2 linked regions of the Drosophila melanogaster genome follow. The gene in region 1 interacts genetically with each later gene. Each region holds a gene or a part of one and is shown in the gene's direction. Other genes may lie near its edges. The genes, in order: ham and seq.

Region 1 (9,099 bases):
TCAAGAACTTTATTTCCCTGCACTCCGCAGCTTGTAAAAGCCATTCACAAAAGCCGGGGCAAGTCCTTTGTCCTGGCTCAGACAGTCGGAGTCAAAGATCAGCCATCCAGCTGAGTTAATTACAGTCGACAGGACTTCCACAGAGACAAACCGGAGTCACTGACTCTGAATGGAACTCGCTTGGAGTCCTTTTTGCCAGAAAGGAAGTGTCCCAGCCTCGGGATATTCAGTCGATCTGAAAAGCATATTTCGCTTCATTTTTGGCGCGTTAAAATTTGAATTTCAGCTGCAATTTTAAGCTTTCTTTAGTGGTAGTGAAGTGTCCACGTCTTTGCTATTATCACCAGTTTGCGAATGTGCTTTTTTATCTTTCGCATTTTATTCAAAACAAATTTTTGGGTTATTATATAAAAATGAGTTTTCAAATGTTCAGATAAATAAATTATTAGTCAGATATATTTGTATCTCTTTCTTTAATTTATTCCATCCGTTAACAGAGGAAAAAGCCATAAATATATATTCCTTCTCTTCCACCACAATGCACTGCAATCCTTTAATTGAAATTTTATCACCTTTTACTGACTGTCTGATCTGACCTGATTATTCCTGGTTATGCATTTACACGGCTCCGCCCCTCGTAGAATTATTGACTTTTTTCCGAGGCGTGTTGGCTAATGAATTATGGGCTATCATATGCGGAACAATCCGCCGACAAAGCGCAGAGCAAACGAAACCAGAGCGAAATGCAAATAAAGACACATCCTTTTTTCTATCTTTTCGGGTCCTCGCGTGTGTTAAATTATGTGACAGCGGCGTGGAAGGGGTGACTCGTTGTCGATTATGTTGTTTTAATTTAACGCTATTAGCAGTGGAGTCAGAGCTGAAAGTCAGGATACCATCCGTTTCAACCCTTAAGCGCCCCTTTTCCGGCGATGACATTCCACCAATATTTCACCCGTATGTTGTGAGCTCCTAATTGAGTGCTGCTGTTTGACAAACGCAAACAGACAACGATGTGGATAGAAATTTGTGTATTTTATGGGCACCGTTTTTAGCACCTCTTCGCTGTGAAACGCGAAAGCCCATATTTCTGACCCTCGAGTGATCATGCAAATAAATAACAAGTGAAGAAATTTATGAACTCATTACAATGGAATCGTTCAAGAATAAGCTATCTTTTTTTGGCCTAACAGGAAACACGCGGAATTAAACCATTTTTTATTTTTTTGTATCTTGCACTCGTAAACAATTATGCTTCATATATATTGTATTTTTTTGGCGAAATGTGGAAAAAAATCCAATTAAGAGAAAATGTTGTAATAATTCATATTTATCTTGTATAAAAATATAATAATTAGACTCATAATCATACCATGTTTTGATATGATTTCGACGCTCGCATACAAAAGATAAACTGTTGCATTTATAACACTTTTAATACTCAAGACAAATCAAATTGATAAATAAGTTGTGTTTCTTTTTCAATTCATATTCACATATTCATATTTTATGTAAATTGGATTAGAGTAAAGAAAATGTAAAATCTTTAATTTTTCACAATAATTCCCTATTACTTATCTCATGGAAAAAAACAATATTCCTTATATACAATACATAGGTGATACTAACTATCTTAGAGTGCGGGAATATCTTCGCTGACGCAATGGTTGAGCAATAATATATTTAGATTACCCAATTCATGATAATATGAGGCATAGTCTTAAAGGAAAATAATAATCCTCTGATTAAAAGGCGACCTCCTAAGTTCCACCTAATAGCCAGTCATCTATTCCCCCTCATCAGCATAACTTCCCATCCACTTAGCCTAAGCCAAAGCCCAACAAAATTCCACCAAAACATGAAAAAGTTTAACGACAGATACGAAATTAAGTTGCAAACAAAAGACCAAAAAGCCCGTGTACTTGTCACCCCCACCTTCACCAAAAAAACCAGGATTGTTGTTGTTTGAGCAGGGAAAAAGGGCAACCATAAGGAAGAGTGAGGGGAAAAAGTGGAGAAAGTCGAGGAAATCAGCCCGGCACACTTTGCCTTTTCTGCCGCAGGCTAAAAGTCGTCGTCGCTTTCAATTATAGCCGTGAGTTTTCTCTGTCCGGCCAACACACACACACACACACACTTCCATACACACCTATACAGTTGGCAGGAAGCCATAAACACACACACACGCACTTAAGCGGCAGGGCAGTCTACACCCACACACAGCCATTAGCCTAATGTGTGTGCTTATTGCGCACGCTTTGGAACAGACGCAGGTTGAATTTTGGGGGAAAATTCAAGAGAGGTGGGAAATTCAAGGCGGGTGGTGGTTGTGAAAAAGCCCACTGAGCTAACGAAGCCACAATCCCCAAACCAAAAGCCGAGTCCCCCTCGAAAACCAAAACGAAATGGATGCTAAGGATAAGGCAACCGCAACTTGCCACTTTGTCTTCTCGTGGGGGAGAAGGGGGTGGGGGGTGGCAAATCAGAAGAGGGGGCCGTGGGTGGTGTCTGGTCTGGGCCAACCGCAAACAAACAAACAGAAGAGCGCAACAGAGACAGAGACACTAGCGGCAGCCAGAAAAAGAGAGCAACACCATCTCTGTATCTGTATCTGGTTCTGTATCTGTATCTACAGCTGCATCGGAGTCTGCTCTGCCTCCATTTCGGTATATAGATATGCAGAGATATATAAAGCGCAGTCTACATGTAGTCGAGTGCATAATGAATGCGAAGATGTGCCCGCCCTATTATCCTGACTCCTCCCTCAACTCGAGCTGGCTGTCTGTGTATCTCAAAGATACATAGCCGTATTCTGATAGGAAAAATCGAGGGGTAAATAAGGCCATCGCACTCTCTCTCTCTTGCTCATTCTCTGTCCCTGTCTCGTTGATGGCCATCTCCCTCTGTTATCCTTTCTGTGGCCACTGGCACTAAGGATTCGAATCAGAATCACCAAGTTTCAGATAATAATAATGACTGCAAACTGACACAGATTTCAAGGGGCGAGAAAGAGAGCTGTTCTCGCCGCGAAAGAGAAGGAGGAACAGAATCCGAGAGAGAGAGAGTGTGTGAGCGCAGGCTGGAGATACATATATAAACGCACTGTTAAAGATACAGATGCTGCACTCTCTCTCTCTTTCTCTCTCCCTCTCTCCACCGATGTTGCTCTCCAGTTTCATCCCCTATCCTTTTGGTTATGCTTTACGAAAGATAGCCAGGACATCAGGGCGATCCTCTGGGAGATGGGATGAGATTTTCGGTTGGGAGAGAGGAGCGGAAACAACCACCATGGCGAATGGATAGCCAACCAGCCAACCGGCCCGAAAAATTCCCATTCAAACCGAGAATCCGAGTCCGGCAATCCGAGAATCCGAGAATCCTCATCGCCTCCAGACAATTCAGTTTCAGTTCGTTGCTGAGCGTGCTGGCAATCGGAATCGGAAAATCACACTCGCTTTTCGCTGCCGCCGTTTGCACTCTCGGTCGCCGTCGACGTCGACGTCGCTGCCACACAATTCTGTTTCTGCTTGTTTCTTTGCATTTATATTTTTTGCGTTATCGCCGCTTCTTTTCCTGGCTGGCTGGCTGGCAGCAGTCTTGCGAAGACAACCGGCAGATAGAGACGACACCCATCAAATAAATAAATATCCGTTAAAATCGTAGCAATATCGGTACCTACATAAAGCAACATCAAGCATACGCAGTGTTGGCCGCGCAGAAAATGTCACATCGCGTGTTATGAAAATATTTGCCAGCGATCTGTTTATTGTGATAATTACAAGTAACGTTTGAAAGCGGAATCATGCTGTTCGATCGATATGTCATATCAGGTTGGTTCCACGCCGTGTTAATAAACAAAAGTTGGTATCTCGCACTGCGGCTTACAGGGAATCGCAGTTCCCTGAACTGAATCAGTTACTTTGAAAACAGTTTACAACGGCCCTAACTTAAACAGAAGCCAAGTGAATCAGTTTGAACAAATCCACCCATTAGTTGATCGATTGTTTTTTAGCCCTAAAACATCAATGACAAAAATTGTGACAAATCAAGTGCTTAAAATAAGTGGTGTCGTGGTTTTATCTCCTATTGTCTTGGCCCTAATTAAAACATTCGTTTATAAATAAACTACGAATTTTTTTAGACTTACAGGAAATTGAAGGCTTGCCATTCAAATATAATTTGAACAAATTATATCAACCCAGCTAAAATACTTATTGCCTGTTAATAAATTGGCATATACCATTGAAAATAATTGAAGTAGTGAAAAAAATTAGGCGAAAACATTTTTTAAGAGCTCTATATCTCGGGCCACAAAAAACATCTTTTAATCTAGTTTCCTTACTAAACTTGCCGCAACTTTTAATGACCAAACTAAAACCGAAGTAAGCCCTAAGTAAACCCATTAAAATCGATCCCCACTTATCAAGCCCCCACACACTGGCAATCAAGCGTTTATGGCCAGTTTTATCAGCAGACCAAACCCAAATGTGATTACCTAAAACACAAATTAGCCGAAGGTCCCGTTGAAAAAACACTTGCGCTTGGGTAAAAGCGAAAACTAAAGAAAACCAGAGTGATTAACAATTGGGTTGTCAAATAGAGCCGAGGATAAACGCGAGATGAGTGGTTGCGAGGGCGGTCTTTGAAGTGTAGGCCACTTCAAAAAGATTTCGCTAAATGGTGTGAAGCCGTCGGGGTTCGCGATCGAAGTGCCAGGATACTGTGCAAACAGAGTGTGCCGCAGGATGTGCGAAATGCAGCAGGTTGTTTCGGGTCGAGAACTCCAAACGTAGTTTGCTTTGTGTTTGGCCATTGTTTGCGAGCCATTGGTTTGCGGTCTACTTATATGGCCGATACTTATCTGTTTCGGGGTAATGTTACTGTTACTCCGTAGTTACTGTTACCATTCGTATGCTCGTTATCTTCGAAGCGCTGTCATATTTTGTCTAACAGCTCAAATTACGATTTAGTTTCAAGTGTTCGAACAAGGCGGATGGACAAGACAAGAAACCAAACAGCAAACAACAACTAGTAGTTGCTCAAATATCAATAATCGCCGGGTAATTTGTCCGTGTATACTTATGTTCCGAGCCCACCGATTATCGGTATCTTAAAGAAGTGGGTGCTATTTTTTTCAAATGACACCATGGGAATGCACTCACAATGTCATCACCACCCATCTGAAATAGTGCAAAATATTATGGGAGTTCTAAGGGTAAAAATCAAATTACCCCTGATTCTACTGTCACTAAGCTGACTCATCAAGTCGTCTAGTGAAGTTTATTTTATCTATTCAATCGGCAAAAGTCAATCCAGTCACATCAATTAAATGTGAAGATAAGCAGCAAATCTAAGCAACTTAAGTCGGAATTATTGTGTCAACAAAATAGTTTAAATATTTCCCGTCGATATTTATCCAGTTTTTATTTGCTCAGCCTGCTTGGATTAGACAGGAAAACAGACGAGGTAACTGATACGCCCTGTCTGTGGAAAGGGTAGAGACACCTGTCTTGCCGGGAAGATAGGAGCCACATAGAGTGGGCAGTGATAGACGGTCCCAGCCGTGCATTGCAAAATCCCCAAAGACACCTTTATATATAAAACCGGGCAACGATTGTCATCTCGACGTGAAGAGTCATTGGCTTTATCTATTTTATTTTGGGAGTGAATTGACAGCCAACAACTGATTAGGATTAGTGCTTTGAGTGCTTGCCAGCGGTCGGAAAAGTCATTTCTAATCGCTGTCTATTTCTTATCCGCTTCGATTGTTAACAGGCTCCGGAGGCGACGACTTCGATCCAAGTGCAAGTGTAGCGCGCCACCATCATCACCTCCATCACCTGGATCTGAGTGCCAGGAGTCAGGGCTTCAATCCACTGTCTGAACAAATCGAGGATTCATTCGCCGCCCGCCATCACTTACCGCAGCAGGAGCCCGTGGAAGGATCTCCGCCGAGGCGGGATCATCTTGATATACAGGATCAGGAGCTACTTCACCATCCCAATCATTTCCACCAGCAGAACCAGCGACAACAGCCACCGCCTCCCACGTTGCCGCTGTCCGTGGAATCCTCCTCCGCCGCAGCCGCCTCCGTCGACGGCATGGATGCCTTCTTCAAGGACCGCGCCCAGGCGGAGCACATCCTGCAGGAGTGGGTGCGTAGGCGCGAACCAGTCTGTGAGCTGGACATCCGTGATAGTGGTGGCGTCTACGCCAAGACGCCGCTCCAGAGGGGCACTCGCTACGGACCCTTTCCCATGAAGCTCAGCCACCAACCCAACGATCCTCAGCTGGCCTGGAAGGTAAGTAGTTTTGACAATCCTTGAAAAAGAGATAAATAATTTTTTAAGTTCTGAGAAGTAAATATAACTGTGGGGAAGGAGTAGAAAATACATTGAATATTTAGAATCGAACGATAGATAGAAAACTTGTAGTCTAAAGTTGATTGTTGGATCTGATATTTTGTAATGCTTTGCATAACTTATTAAACTACTTTCTAACGATGATTTAAATATATTTTAGTTGCTTGATGTTCACTAACCTAATTAATTCAAAAATCGGTAGAACTCAACAATGCCTACCCAAAATTGTCGTTAGTTGCAATTACAATTATTTTCCCATGCAATCAGAAGCACAAATCCCATGCCTGAAAATCCCAAAAAACTTTTATAGCACACATTTATCACCAAACGGACCTTAAGCCTTTCACATGTGTGCGCATTTTGGCAATCTCAAATTTCCGATATTAGTTTTTCGCTGGTCGGGAAATTTAATCCCATCAGAACCGTACCAATTTTGATGTGCGAAAATTGCAAGCGAATTGAGTCATCCCAATTTTTGGGTGGTTTTCGCAGGGAAAATCAAACGATTGGAAAGAGATTTGATTAGAGCTCTACCTCGAGGGTATCAATTGTCAGTCAAATGTGCCTAATCCCCGGCCAGAGCTAATTTACCTTCCGCCGGAGTGGAAAACCAGGACGAAAATCCACAAAGTGCACCCCAAATGAGGCTTAAGTCGGGGCCGGCTGATGATTCCAATTAGGGTATACGGATCGTCCGATCCCAGTCTGAACCCTTCGATCGGTTGTCAGTCAGTCAGTCAGTCAACTGACACTTTTCCTCCTCCCTCCGCTACCACTTTTCTCTACCGAAACACAGAGACAATCCAATCAAATTATCGCGCCTCGTCCTGTTGACAATTCGCACAAGGAGATCCCTCTTTTTACCTACTCGGCCCAGGTATTGGTACGAAAATATTGTTCCTGCCACTCGAGCGAAAATTGCAAAAATAACACAACTCGGATCGGATCGGATCCCTTCTGGCCTTTATTCCTGGATGATCCTCAAATCAAGCGCACTTTTATCGTTCACGTTTCCGTTTTGACAGATACATTGGCCGTATCTGTATCTGTATCTGCCACCGTTTCCCGTCCGATCCTTCTGGAGGATCTGGATCTGATCTGGCAATTCGAAGCGAGTTTTGCCAGCCGAACCTAACCGAACCGAACCCAACACTTTGAGATTATCTCTGGCGCGTAAATATTTTTCCTGCCCATTGACGTTTTCGTGTTTTTCTGCTGTGAGCGTGGTGGCCTCCTTTTTAATAAAGTTATGAATAGGCAAGGACATGTGTGATGTCTGTCCGGGGATTATCGACAGACAAAACCAGCAACTGGAACTGTTTGCCAAACGGTTACGGATATTTCTGGCCGTGTATTTGTACATATCCAGATGATCTGATCATTTTTTTAGTGGCTGCATCGGATTGCAGTTTCCTTTGCTGTCTTGAATAACCAAGGAAAACTGGGGAAATGTCATATAAAGATATTCCGGTGATCAGTACTGATTGCCTGAATAATCTTGAATATGAAACCATAAGGAAACTTAAAATATCTTACACTGAATTGTCATAAATTTGCCACAGTACTGCTTCAGAAGTCTTTATGTGCTTAGATATTAATTTGCAAACAGATAACTTACTTATTTTCTGTATTATAAATTCTTTGGGTTTGATGCTTAATATTGATTTAATAAATTAACTATGCCTTCCCCTTTGAAATGAGAGATTGCTTTGAACCCACATGTTCCTACTACTCCACCATCTTCTAATTATTGTAATTGCGAATTGCCCCGTGTTTCGCAAATCAAAGCCCTTCCAATTATACATTTTTGCAACTATAACTTGCGTGGCCCTCGCCGAATGGAAATGCACAGACTGCAACCTACTTGTTTGGCAAGCCACTCGACGAAACCTCTCTTCCTCGTCCTGAAAACGCAAAGTTTATTTCATTTATGCGCGCGGGTATATTTTTGTATTTATTTTATTTTTTATTTTTGCGCTGCATATGCCGCGGGGCAGCAGAAGCCACTTGAGGCGTTGTTAACTTAATTTTTGGAGCGTGCACACATGGCTCACTCTCTCTCTCTCTTTCTCCCTAGACGCACACACACCCACATGAGCACACGCACACATTAACACACACACACACACACACACCCTTATACCACTTCATCGCCAACTGCAAAATGCCGTTTTTCCAAATGACTTCATAGACAAGAGTTCGACGGCGGCGACTTGAACGTTGCGCATACGCAAAGTCATTCAGTCAACCGCAGCATTTGAGTTTTTTGATTTTTTTCTTTTTTGGTTTTTTGATTTTAATTTGTGGTTGCGGCAGCGTCAAACTTTCGGCGTCGCAAAGTCTAAGGCAGTTTTTCTCATTTCCAGCCGCAACTACAAAACAAGAAAAAAAAAGAAAAAAATCCACAGCCGCTGTTAACGATTTGTGTAAATTATGCGTAATTCAGCTTGGCGCCGCTGCTTTTATTTGTACACAAAAACTGTTGGCGGTTTTTGTTTAGTTTTCTGTTGTTTTGCTCTTTTCATGTATTTTCGCACCGTGGCTGCAGTTTCCTCTTACCGTTTAGTGACCTTGATTTTGCGGGCAGACTTGTGGGCGGCGTCTTGCTGGGCCTGCTTTTTAATGGAGTGTGTGAAGACCCTTATTAATTGGCTAAGTAATTATGTTGACTCTCAATGAAAATTTGTTTGACACTAAAAATTTATTCTAATATGCTCAAATTGTACTGTGAGTTGTT
Region 2 (8,868 bases), on another chromosome or scaffold:
CTATCTCTCTCCTGCTCTCTCTCTGTGGGTTATGCCTGAGTTGCTTTGGACAAGTTTTGAGGACAGGATCCTTGGACACCCCGCCACTTTTTGTTTCTTTCGTTTCAAGTCCTGCCGAGCAGTGTGACCGTTCTTTTGTGCTCTGGTCACGCTTTGATCCTGCCGTTAGCCGCTCCCCCAAGCTCCATTTTCCCATAGGCGTCGCCGGGCTAATGACATGTTGTAAATTATACTACCACGGGGCATTCCTTTCACCGTTTCAAGCTGCTGTAATTACTCAGCCCGGTTTCCTTTTTTTGTTCCTCTCCTTCACTCCCCGTCCTGTTTTATTATTTTGCGTCGGTTTTTGTATGGGTTTTCTGCACACAGGATGCAAGAAACCTTGTTATCGAAACGCTATCACATAATTGCTCGATGCAGTTGCAGATGTGCTTATTTGTATTCGCTAAGCGCATATGCCATTAAATTGAACATTATAGGGGATTTACTAAATTATGCTTTTGCGCTTGGGGGAAATTAATGTCCTTAACAGTTGCAACAATATGACATTTTCTTATTAACGAAATTATTGAGAAATATAGTTGAGGGCGTTATGATTTAAAAGATATAATGCGATCGGCTTGGAAATTATAATTCTATTTAAATGGTACTAATTCTGCAAACGGAGTTCACAGGATCAAGCTTAAATGTGTAATACATTTAAAATGGAAAATCTATCGAAAACACTATATAAAAAGCATTAGATTGAAATTGGCTAGCATAAAAGTAAACAAACAATTATTCCAAACGAGCCATTGCTCTGAACGCTATTTGTTGGTTTTGCAATTATTATACAAATATGCAATTATTAAGTACGAGACACACGAAGCCGTCTCAAGTGAGAGAGTCCTTGCGACCCGTCTCAAGTGGATCCTCAACCTCTAGCCTCTGTATCTGTCGTTTACCTACAAACGATCACTGGCGATCCGGGATCAGTAAAGTCCTAGATTAGATCTTCGCCAAAATCCGAAATCCGTGCCAGGACAATGCATAATGAGGATTAAGTCCTTTGCGATTTCTCTGACTGCTTACTGAGATGCAGAGAAAGAGAGAGAATGTGCGAATGGATTCACGATTCGCGATGGCGAATGCATTTTTCCTTTCGCCACATTTGCTTTTCGCAATGAAACTAAAGAGGAGGAAAAAGGCATTGTTCGATCCACGAATGAATAGAGGAAAAAGGAGGAGCGATTAAAACTGCCAGTTTTCCACACGGCTTGCATTTCCCTATCCACAATTATCCTGTCAAACTTGTTTGCGCCGTCTCCCTCTTGCTCTACACCAATTTTCCTTTCGCATTATGCTTTGACCAGAGCATTCGCATTAAAAGGACAACGCTCTTGTGCGGCGCGACTGTGTGTGCGTGAGCGTGTCTGTGTTGCGTGCTTGCTGTGTGTGTGAGTGCGAGTGCGAGTGCGAGCGAAGAGCGAGTTCTTTCGACGCCTGCGTCGCCATCGTCCTGGCATCGAACTGGCGTTCAGTCGACGCTTGCCACTCAGACCGCTCAGACATGTCGCGCCCGTCGTGAGTGCCAGTTAGCCATCCACATTAATATACATATATATAAATTAACATCCTCGAAGAGAGAGAGCAGCAGCCATCAAGTCGAAGACTGTGTAAAACGCAAAACAACGACGCCATCAGATGTTGCAGGATAACATAAAATAATACCAAAGCTAAATCATTCTACAAGAATTGCAAAACCCAGAAAATAGTGCTCAAGTGTATCGTATAAAACATCAAATTGTGCAAATTAGTTACAGTTAGTTAAAACGCCAGCAGAAGTTTCATATGCAAATACACAAAAAATAATGTGCAATAAACTACAAATCACTTCAAACAAAGGCAACGCAGCAGCATCCAAAACGTTAGTCACATCCAGTTGGAGTTGCTCATATAGTCATAAAAGTACTTTTGACATTTTGTTGGGATTTACGCATGGAGAACACCGAATAAACTAGAGAAGCAGAACTAAAAAAAAAACCCATCAAAGCACATCACAAGTGAGTTCCAAATTTCGTCCTTTCACAAACACACTCACATATTCGTAAACACACATACACACATGCATACGCACTCGCTGCATTGCGACTCGCCCATGTCGAATCTCCTCTGTAGCGAGTATATCCTGCCCGCTCACTCGCTCTTCCCACCATATTTGCTCTCTCCTTGTTAACTAGCATATAGTTTTGCGCACTCGTCAGCTCCCCCCTCTCAGTTATCCCGTTACCCCTCCCCTTCCCCAACATCGTCGGCTCTCCGCTCTCGTTCGGTTTTGGTCTTCTCGCTCTCTGAAATTCTCGGGTGGTGGTACAGTTTTCTACGTGGTCGAAAAATTGCGTAAATTTTCATCTAGTGCTCTGGGATGTCTCGCACAGCGTTGTCCTCGTTATCGTTATCCTTGCTGTTCCTCTGGCCTGCAGAGCTTTCAGTCTGCTTGTACGGAAAATAGGAAAAACAAACGGAAAAACAATTGGTATTGGTATTGACTGGGAAAAAGATGTCGCCGGATTTGTGTCATTTGCTTATTGGGCGTTTTCAATCCCTATAAATGGCTTGCCGCGGGAATAACGGTTCGTCATGGGGCTCAATAATTAATTATCCCCTTCATCTTGATTTATTGTGTTTTTTTTTGGGAGGCTTATCGTATACAGAAATACACACAGAGAAATTTTTCAATCACGCATGACTTGTACTTTTGTTTTATTTTACGTTTTACACTCATCAATCATTTTATTTGGGATCTATAAAATGTAAACAAAATAGTTTTGCGAACTAGTCTTAAATAAATTTTAGTTCAATAATTTTGTATGCTAATTGTAACTATTAATTAAGTGATAGTGTGAAGACAAAGCGTCAATATTAGTAAAATTATTTTTTAAGTTATCCTAATCCTGCGGGGATCGTTTAAATATATTTCGTATGTTTACTTACATAGGAGTTTTAATTTTAATTAGTTTTTTAAATTTCGAATACCTGAATTTTACAACTTTTTGGCAAAGTTGTTTACATTTATCACAATCATCGATATATTATCAGCATAATTCAATTGTAATTTATAGCATAACTAAATCATTTAATATTTAATCGAAATAATTTTGTGGTAAGAAATGAATCGAATTTACCATTTTCAGGCAACATACATAATTTCCATATTACCGCTTATTCCTTTAACTCCCAATTTTTCAGCCGGTTGTGCATGAAATCTGATATACTTATTTAATTTACAACATTTCCTCGTAGTTAGTAAGGTTATCAAACGAACGATCATTGCACTTTTTATGGGTTCCTATGGGTTATTGCGGGTCCGGCTGGCCCATGAGGAAAACCACTCGAATGAAAGGGGCGGGGGAAACGGCAACTGCATATCCTGCCAGCCTCTATTCTCCTGCCAGTCGTCCTGCCTGCCTGCCTGCTGTTGTAGCTGCCGCGCCCATTAAAAAAAAAAAAGAAAACCTCGAAAAGTTGCAGCTGTTCCCTCAGCGCTCCTTCTCTGTTTGTTTTGTGACTGCCAGCCAGAATGCCGATCCCAAGCGATCCGATCGCTGAGCGCTTAGCGATGGGGCAGGCAGACGGGCTGATCATGAATGGCATCTGCCCGGGATTAATGGGCCGTGCACGGGAGTACGGAGTTTTAATGCTGCTTCTATCACAGTTCCAGATCGAAGCACCCTAGCTGTGAAAGAAGTGTCCGACAACAGGTCGGAATTGAAAAAAAAGAGAAAAACTGAGACGAGAATGAAAATGTCAGAGGTGCCACGCATCAAGGTCTTCCGACCCACCTGGGAGGAGTTCAAGGACTTTCCCAAGTACGTGGCCTACATGGAGTCCCAGGGTGCCCACAAAGCCGGTTTGGCCAAGGTGGTGCCTCCGCCGGAATGGGTGCCCCGTCGCAGTGGGTACGCCGATCTCGATGCTCTAAATGTCACAATTCCGGCGCCCATTTGCCAGGTGGTAACCGGCAAACAGGGATACTACCAGCAGATTAACATCCAGAAAAAGCCACTCACAGTTAAGCAGTTTAGCGAGTTGGCCAGCACCGAGCGTTACGCCACACCCAAACACTTTGACTTTGAGGATCTGGAGCGCAAATACTGGAAGAACATAACATATGTGGCGCCCATTTATGGGGCAGATGTCAGCGGAAGTATCACAGACACAGACCAGGATGTAAGTTCGTTAGGGTTAGGGTTTAGGTTTGGGCATTAGCTGATGATTCGTTGCCTTTGCCTTTGCCGTTGCAGAGCTGGAACATCAACCGGCTGGGCACAATTCTTGACTATGTCAACAAGGATTATAACATCCAGATAGACGGCGTGAACACAGCCTACTTGTACTTTGGCATGTGGAAGACGACCTTTGCATGGCACACGGAGGACATGGATCTCTATTCCATCAATTACTTACACTTTGGGGCGCCAAAGACGTGGTATGTGGTGCCGCCGGAGTGTGGTCGCAAATTGGAGAAGGTGGCCAACCAGTACTTTCCGGCCAGTTACAAGAATTGCAACGCATATTTGCGCCACAAGATGACGTTGATTTCACCACAGATTCTCAAGCAACATGACGTGCCCGTCAGTAAGGTGCGTTTATCGGTAGTAATCCTGTCCATAGTGGCCGTACTAAATCCGGCTCTTGCAGATCACGCAGGAGGCGGGCGAGATCATGATCACATTTCCGTTCGGCTATCATGCCGGCTTCAATCACGGCTTTAACTGTGCCGAGTCCACCAACTTTGCCATGGAGCGCTGGATCGAGTACGGCAAGCGGGCGGTGCAGTGCACCTGCAGCAACGATATGGTCAAGATCTCGATGGACACATTTGTCAAGCGCTTCCAAAGCGATCGCTACGATCTGTGGATGGAGGGGCGTGACGTGGGGCGGCATCCGGAGGATCCGCCAAACGCGGTGCTCAGTGCAGCACCCCTGCCACCACATCTCGATGTCTTGCTGTGTGATAAAAAGTAGGTTTCCTTGCGCTACTTGTGGGGCTACCAGCGAGTCTTATTCCTATCTCCTGCTCCTCCGCAGAATGAAAAAGCAATGCAATCCTACCAAGGCCAAGAGTTTCAAAGAGCGTAATCCCGATCTGGACCTGGATGAAATCCAGCAGAATCCCAACGTCCCCGACGACGTCAAGGCCATGCTGAAGGAGAGCGTGCTGACGCTGGACACGGGCGATCTGGCCACGGATGAGGCTGATTTTCCCAACGAGGATGCCATGAGTCTACAGAGTCCGGCGAATCTGAAGACCAAGCAGGAGCTGCTTGAGTACATTGACGACGGCACAGGTGTGTGGGCCGGCAGGTGCCCTTCAAAACGATCATCTTCCCCTTTCCCCAGCTTAACTATAATATGTTTCCTTTCTCGCATCTGTTCTTTGTCTTCCCCTTTTTGCCTGTTGACAGAAGATGATGATGAGGAGGAGGACTTCAAGCGGCGCAAGCAGAAGCGGCGCTATGATGCCGACTATGACGACGATTGGCTGGCGTCCAAGCGCAAGACTAACTCGCGAAACAATCGCGGCCGTAGTCCGCGCACCAAGGACGACCGTTCCATATCGCCGGCCTCCTCCACCTCCTCGACGTCGAGGGGTGCAAGGCGTGGCAAGGCCAGTGGCACGCCCCGAAAGACTCCTGCGCGGCGGAAAAAGGACTCAATCACCACGTCTCCGGCGGTTAGTTCTGCAGCAACTGCCGTAAAAACACCGACATCCGCCGTAGTCGCTGGAACAACATCAATAGCCACAACCACAACACCACCAGCAGATGGCGGAGGAGGTGAGAGCAGCAGCTTAGGCAGCCACTGCACCACTGCATCCCCATAATCACAGCTTCACCTATCCACCTCCAAGCCATCCAAATTCTCTAACCCAATGCCCCAATGTCTCTTTTTTAGCAAAAATCATTCCAAATTTCCCAGTAGTTTTTTGTTCTAACCAAATTGACAATGTTTCAAGCAGTTTCACATGTATCGTTCATCGTTTTTGTTTTGCGATTAATGTACAAATAAATCGTTCTATCTAATTGTAAGAGTGCGCCAGAGAAATATACGATCACGCTTTTAAGTCTATGCTAAAAACTAACCGAAAACCAAAACTGTTTTACTAAACCGAATTCAAGGTGTTGGTGCTGTCTGGGCCGAATCCGTTCCTCTTGTTTTGCCGCCCCCAGAATCCGCTTCACTTGCTCTTTCGCTTTGACTACACATCCTCATTCCACCCAAATCGCATTGCCTCCTATCCAGAAAACCCCCCGAGTCCACATGTGTGTATGTGTGTGTATCTGTGTGTTTACACCAACAGTAACCGTATCAACCGCATTTATTCACAAACAATTGAAATCCTTGCCTGATCAAGTACTAAACTTTATCGATTGACGTTTTTCAGATGCCAAAAAGGAGCGACAGTCGCTGCAGTTTATGCAACAATCGCGTAAATTTGAGGGCAAGATACCAAAACTAAGTCAAACGAGTGCAGCAACAGGAGGAGCAACGGCAGCCGCAGAAGCATCCACATCCAAGTCTAGTCAAGGGCAGCAGCAACAGATTGTCTACGTCAACATGTTGCCCGCGGCCAATACCCTGAATGGCATTCCACAGCAGCAGCAGCAGCAACAATATGCGAGCACGGATGGAAATGTCTATCAGCTGCAAAATGAAATACTCTGTGATGCAAATGGACATGCCGTGACTGCCGCCACGGCCTCATATCAAACTACGGCCAGTAGTCCGCAGCAGCAGCAACAGCAGCAGCAGCAGCAACAGAATGTTGCAACTAGTGTTGCCGGTAAGTGTACAACTTGAATTTGTTCGCTTTTACGTTAATTAATTTGTTTGTTGGTTGTAGTCTTTGTGTATGGTTTAACCTAACCCTCTTGTGTACTCGTATTTGGTGTTTAAGTTGAAGCTATTACCACTAACCGCTCTCATTGTAAATACAAACGCACTCACACAATTATGATTTTGACCGTCAACCGAATTGGCCAAATTTGAATCCAATCAATTGTAAATGTTGTCGCACATCCATGTCATCCAATCGATATCATCCTGACTTTCCAAATTCAAACTGCATTTTGAGTTTTCAACTTTTTGTGCCAAAATTCAAATGCGCCACTAAGGGAGAACGTTTCGAATGAGAGCAAACATTGAATTTGACTTCCATTTGTGTTCCGTGTTCTTGTCACACCTTTGAACCTCCCAAAAAATGAACAAAATACAAAAGAATATAAACGAAATAAAAAGGCAATGAAATCTTCAATTAACCATTACCGACCTATCTCAATAAATCGAACTCCAATCGCATCGCCCAATTAATAACAACAACCGCTTTCAACTGCTCCACACACTACATGCTTGTCTTTAATTTGCGACACCATTTCCCAGGTCTGTGTCCTGTCTCTACTCGAATTGTCGAGAGCATTGGAAAAATCAAATAAATAAGTGCACAATTCATTTCAACCGAGGGAGGGAGCTCCGTACAAAACAGTAACGCGTCGAAAAAGGCTCAAAAACAATTGTCGATCACGTATTATTTTACTTTATTAGCTAGTTTAAGGTTTTGCAGTTCAAACTTTGGCGCCCAAGCAGCAGTGAGTTCAATGAGAGCATCAGTGCTGCCCATGCGCGCGCTGACTCTTGGCAGCACTTGCGCGCCAAATTTTGAAAATAGAGTTTATAATTTATAGATTTGCGTTTATGATTTAGTTACTTTTAGCAACGACACTTTCCCGTCTTTTCTATCTCTCACTTATTGTTTCCCACTCTTTGGACACAACACAAACACAATCCGTTGCCAGCTCCTCCTGCTCCGCCCCAAGCGATGGAGGAGGAGGAGGAGTCTACACAAAGTTGGCACCAGTTTCATCCTCTCCTCTGTCCACCTGTTACCACCACCTCAGTTACCGAAGTCGATTATTTATTTAACTTTATTTAGTACGTATTGAGTTGCGAGTACTGTACCAGAGTTACGAATTACGATTGCTGTAATGTAGATCTAAGTAAACACAAATTCTACCGACAAACAAAAACCAATTCACTCACTTTCTATCTATATGTCCTGTATTGCCTTATCCAATCGATTTGATAAAGAGGCCCGCCCGTAAATGCAGCAGATGCACTGCATCTGTGGCATTTGCCTTTTTTGCTGTTGGCCGCAAGTAGATTTCATTTTGCACAACATTTGTTTTATGCGAACCTGATTTGAGTGAATTGTTGATTGATTTCGATTTCAATTACGAATTGATTTATTGATTTATGCAAATATTACATTCAAACACATCTTTTATGAACCAAACCAAATATGTATTTTCAAAATATATATAAACAAAAGACAATGTGGTCACAACTATTAGTTCGTCCTCCATCCTGCACACGAACGCCAACACCAACGGAGTGGACACATTGGCCGCCACACAGCAACAACAACAACAACAGCAGCAGCAGCAGCAGCAACAACAGCAACAGCACTACCACTATATCACCACCACCGGCGAGGATGGACAAACCCCGACCACCATAGTGTTCGAGAACTACAACGGCGGAATGCCAGCGGTCAGTTCTGCCGCACCAACGCCCGTTCCCGTGTCGCAGGCCAACGCACCCGCGACCACGACCACCACTGCCCTGGTCAACACGGACGGCACGATCATCGAGTTCGACGGGAGCACGTACGAGGAGTATCATGTCCTCAAAAGCGAGCCCGGCAGCAGCGATTGCCTGAGCAACGGCAGCAGTGCCGTGGCCGCCGACATAATCAAGTACGATCCCCAGCACGGTGTCGTCGGCGACGAGGAGGACGACGATGAGAACGGCATGCTGCATGTGAAGTAC

The links.
Region 2: of ham (region 1) and seq, changing one suppresses a phenotype caused by changing the other (phenotypic suppression), as found in Drosophila melanogaster (one study listed by BioGRID).

The regions. Positions count from the first base shown.
Region 1 is NT_033779.5:18,777,008-18,786,106, reverse strand, and holds the start of ham (hamlet), read left to right. Parts: upstream 1-3,506; 5' UTR 3,507-3,802; coding exon 3,803-3,830; intron 3,831-5,775; coding exon 5,776-6,302; intron 6,303-9,099.
Region 2 is NT_033778.4:13,182,735-13,191,602, reverse strand, and holds the start of seq (sequoia), read left to right. Parts: upstream 1-1,516; 5' UTR 1,517-2,042; intron 2,043-2,349; exon of another isoform or gene 2,350-2,515; intron 2,516-3,694; exon of another isoform or gene 3,695-3,777; coding exon of another isoform or gene 3,778-4,209; intron 4,210-4,283; coding exon of another isoform or gene 4,284-4,622; intron 4,623-4,680; coding exon of another isoform or gene 4,681-5,003; intron 5,004-5,070; coding exon of another isoform or gene 5,071-5,330; intron 5,331-5,447; coding exon of another isoform or gene 5,448-5,866; exon of another isoform or gene 5,867-6,069; intron 6,070-6,427; coding exon of another isoform or gene 6,428-6,459; coding exon 6,460-6,826; intron 6,827-8,368; coding exon 8,369-8,868. Other genes in the region: Kdm4B (lysine demethylase 4B), read left to right, coding at 3,778-4,209, 4,284-4,622, 4,681-5,003, 5,071-5,330, 5,448-5,819, 6,428-6,826.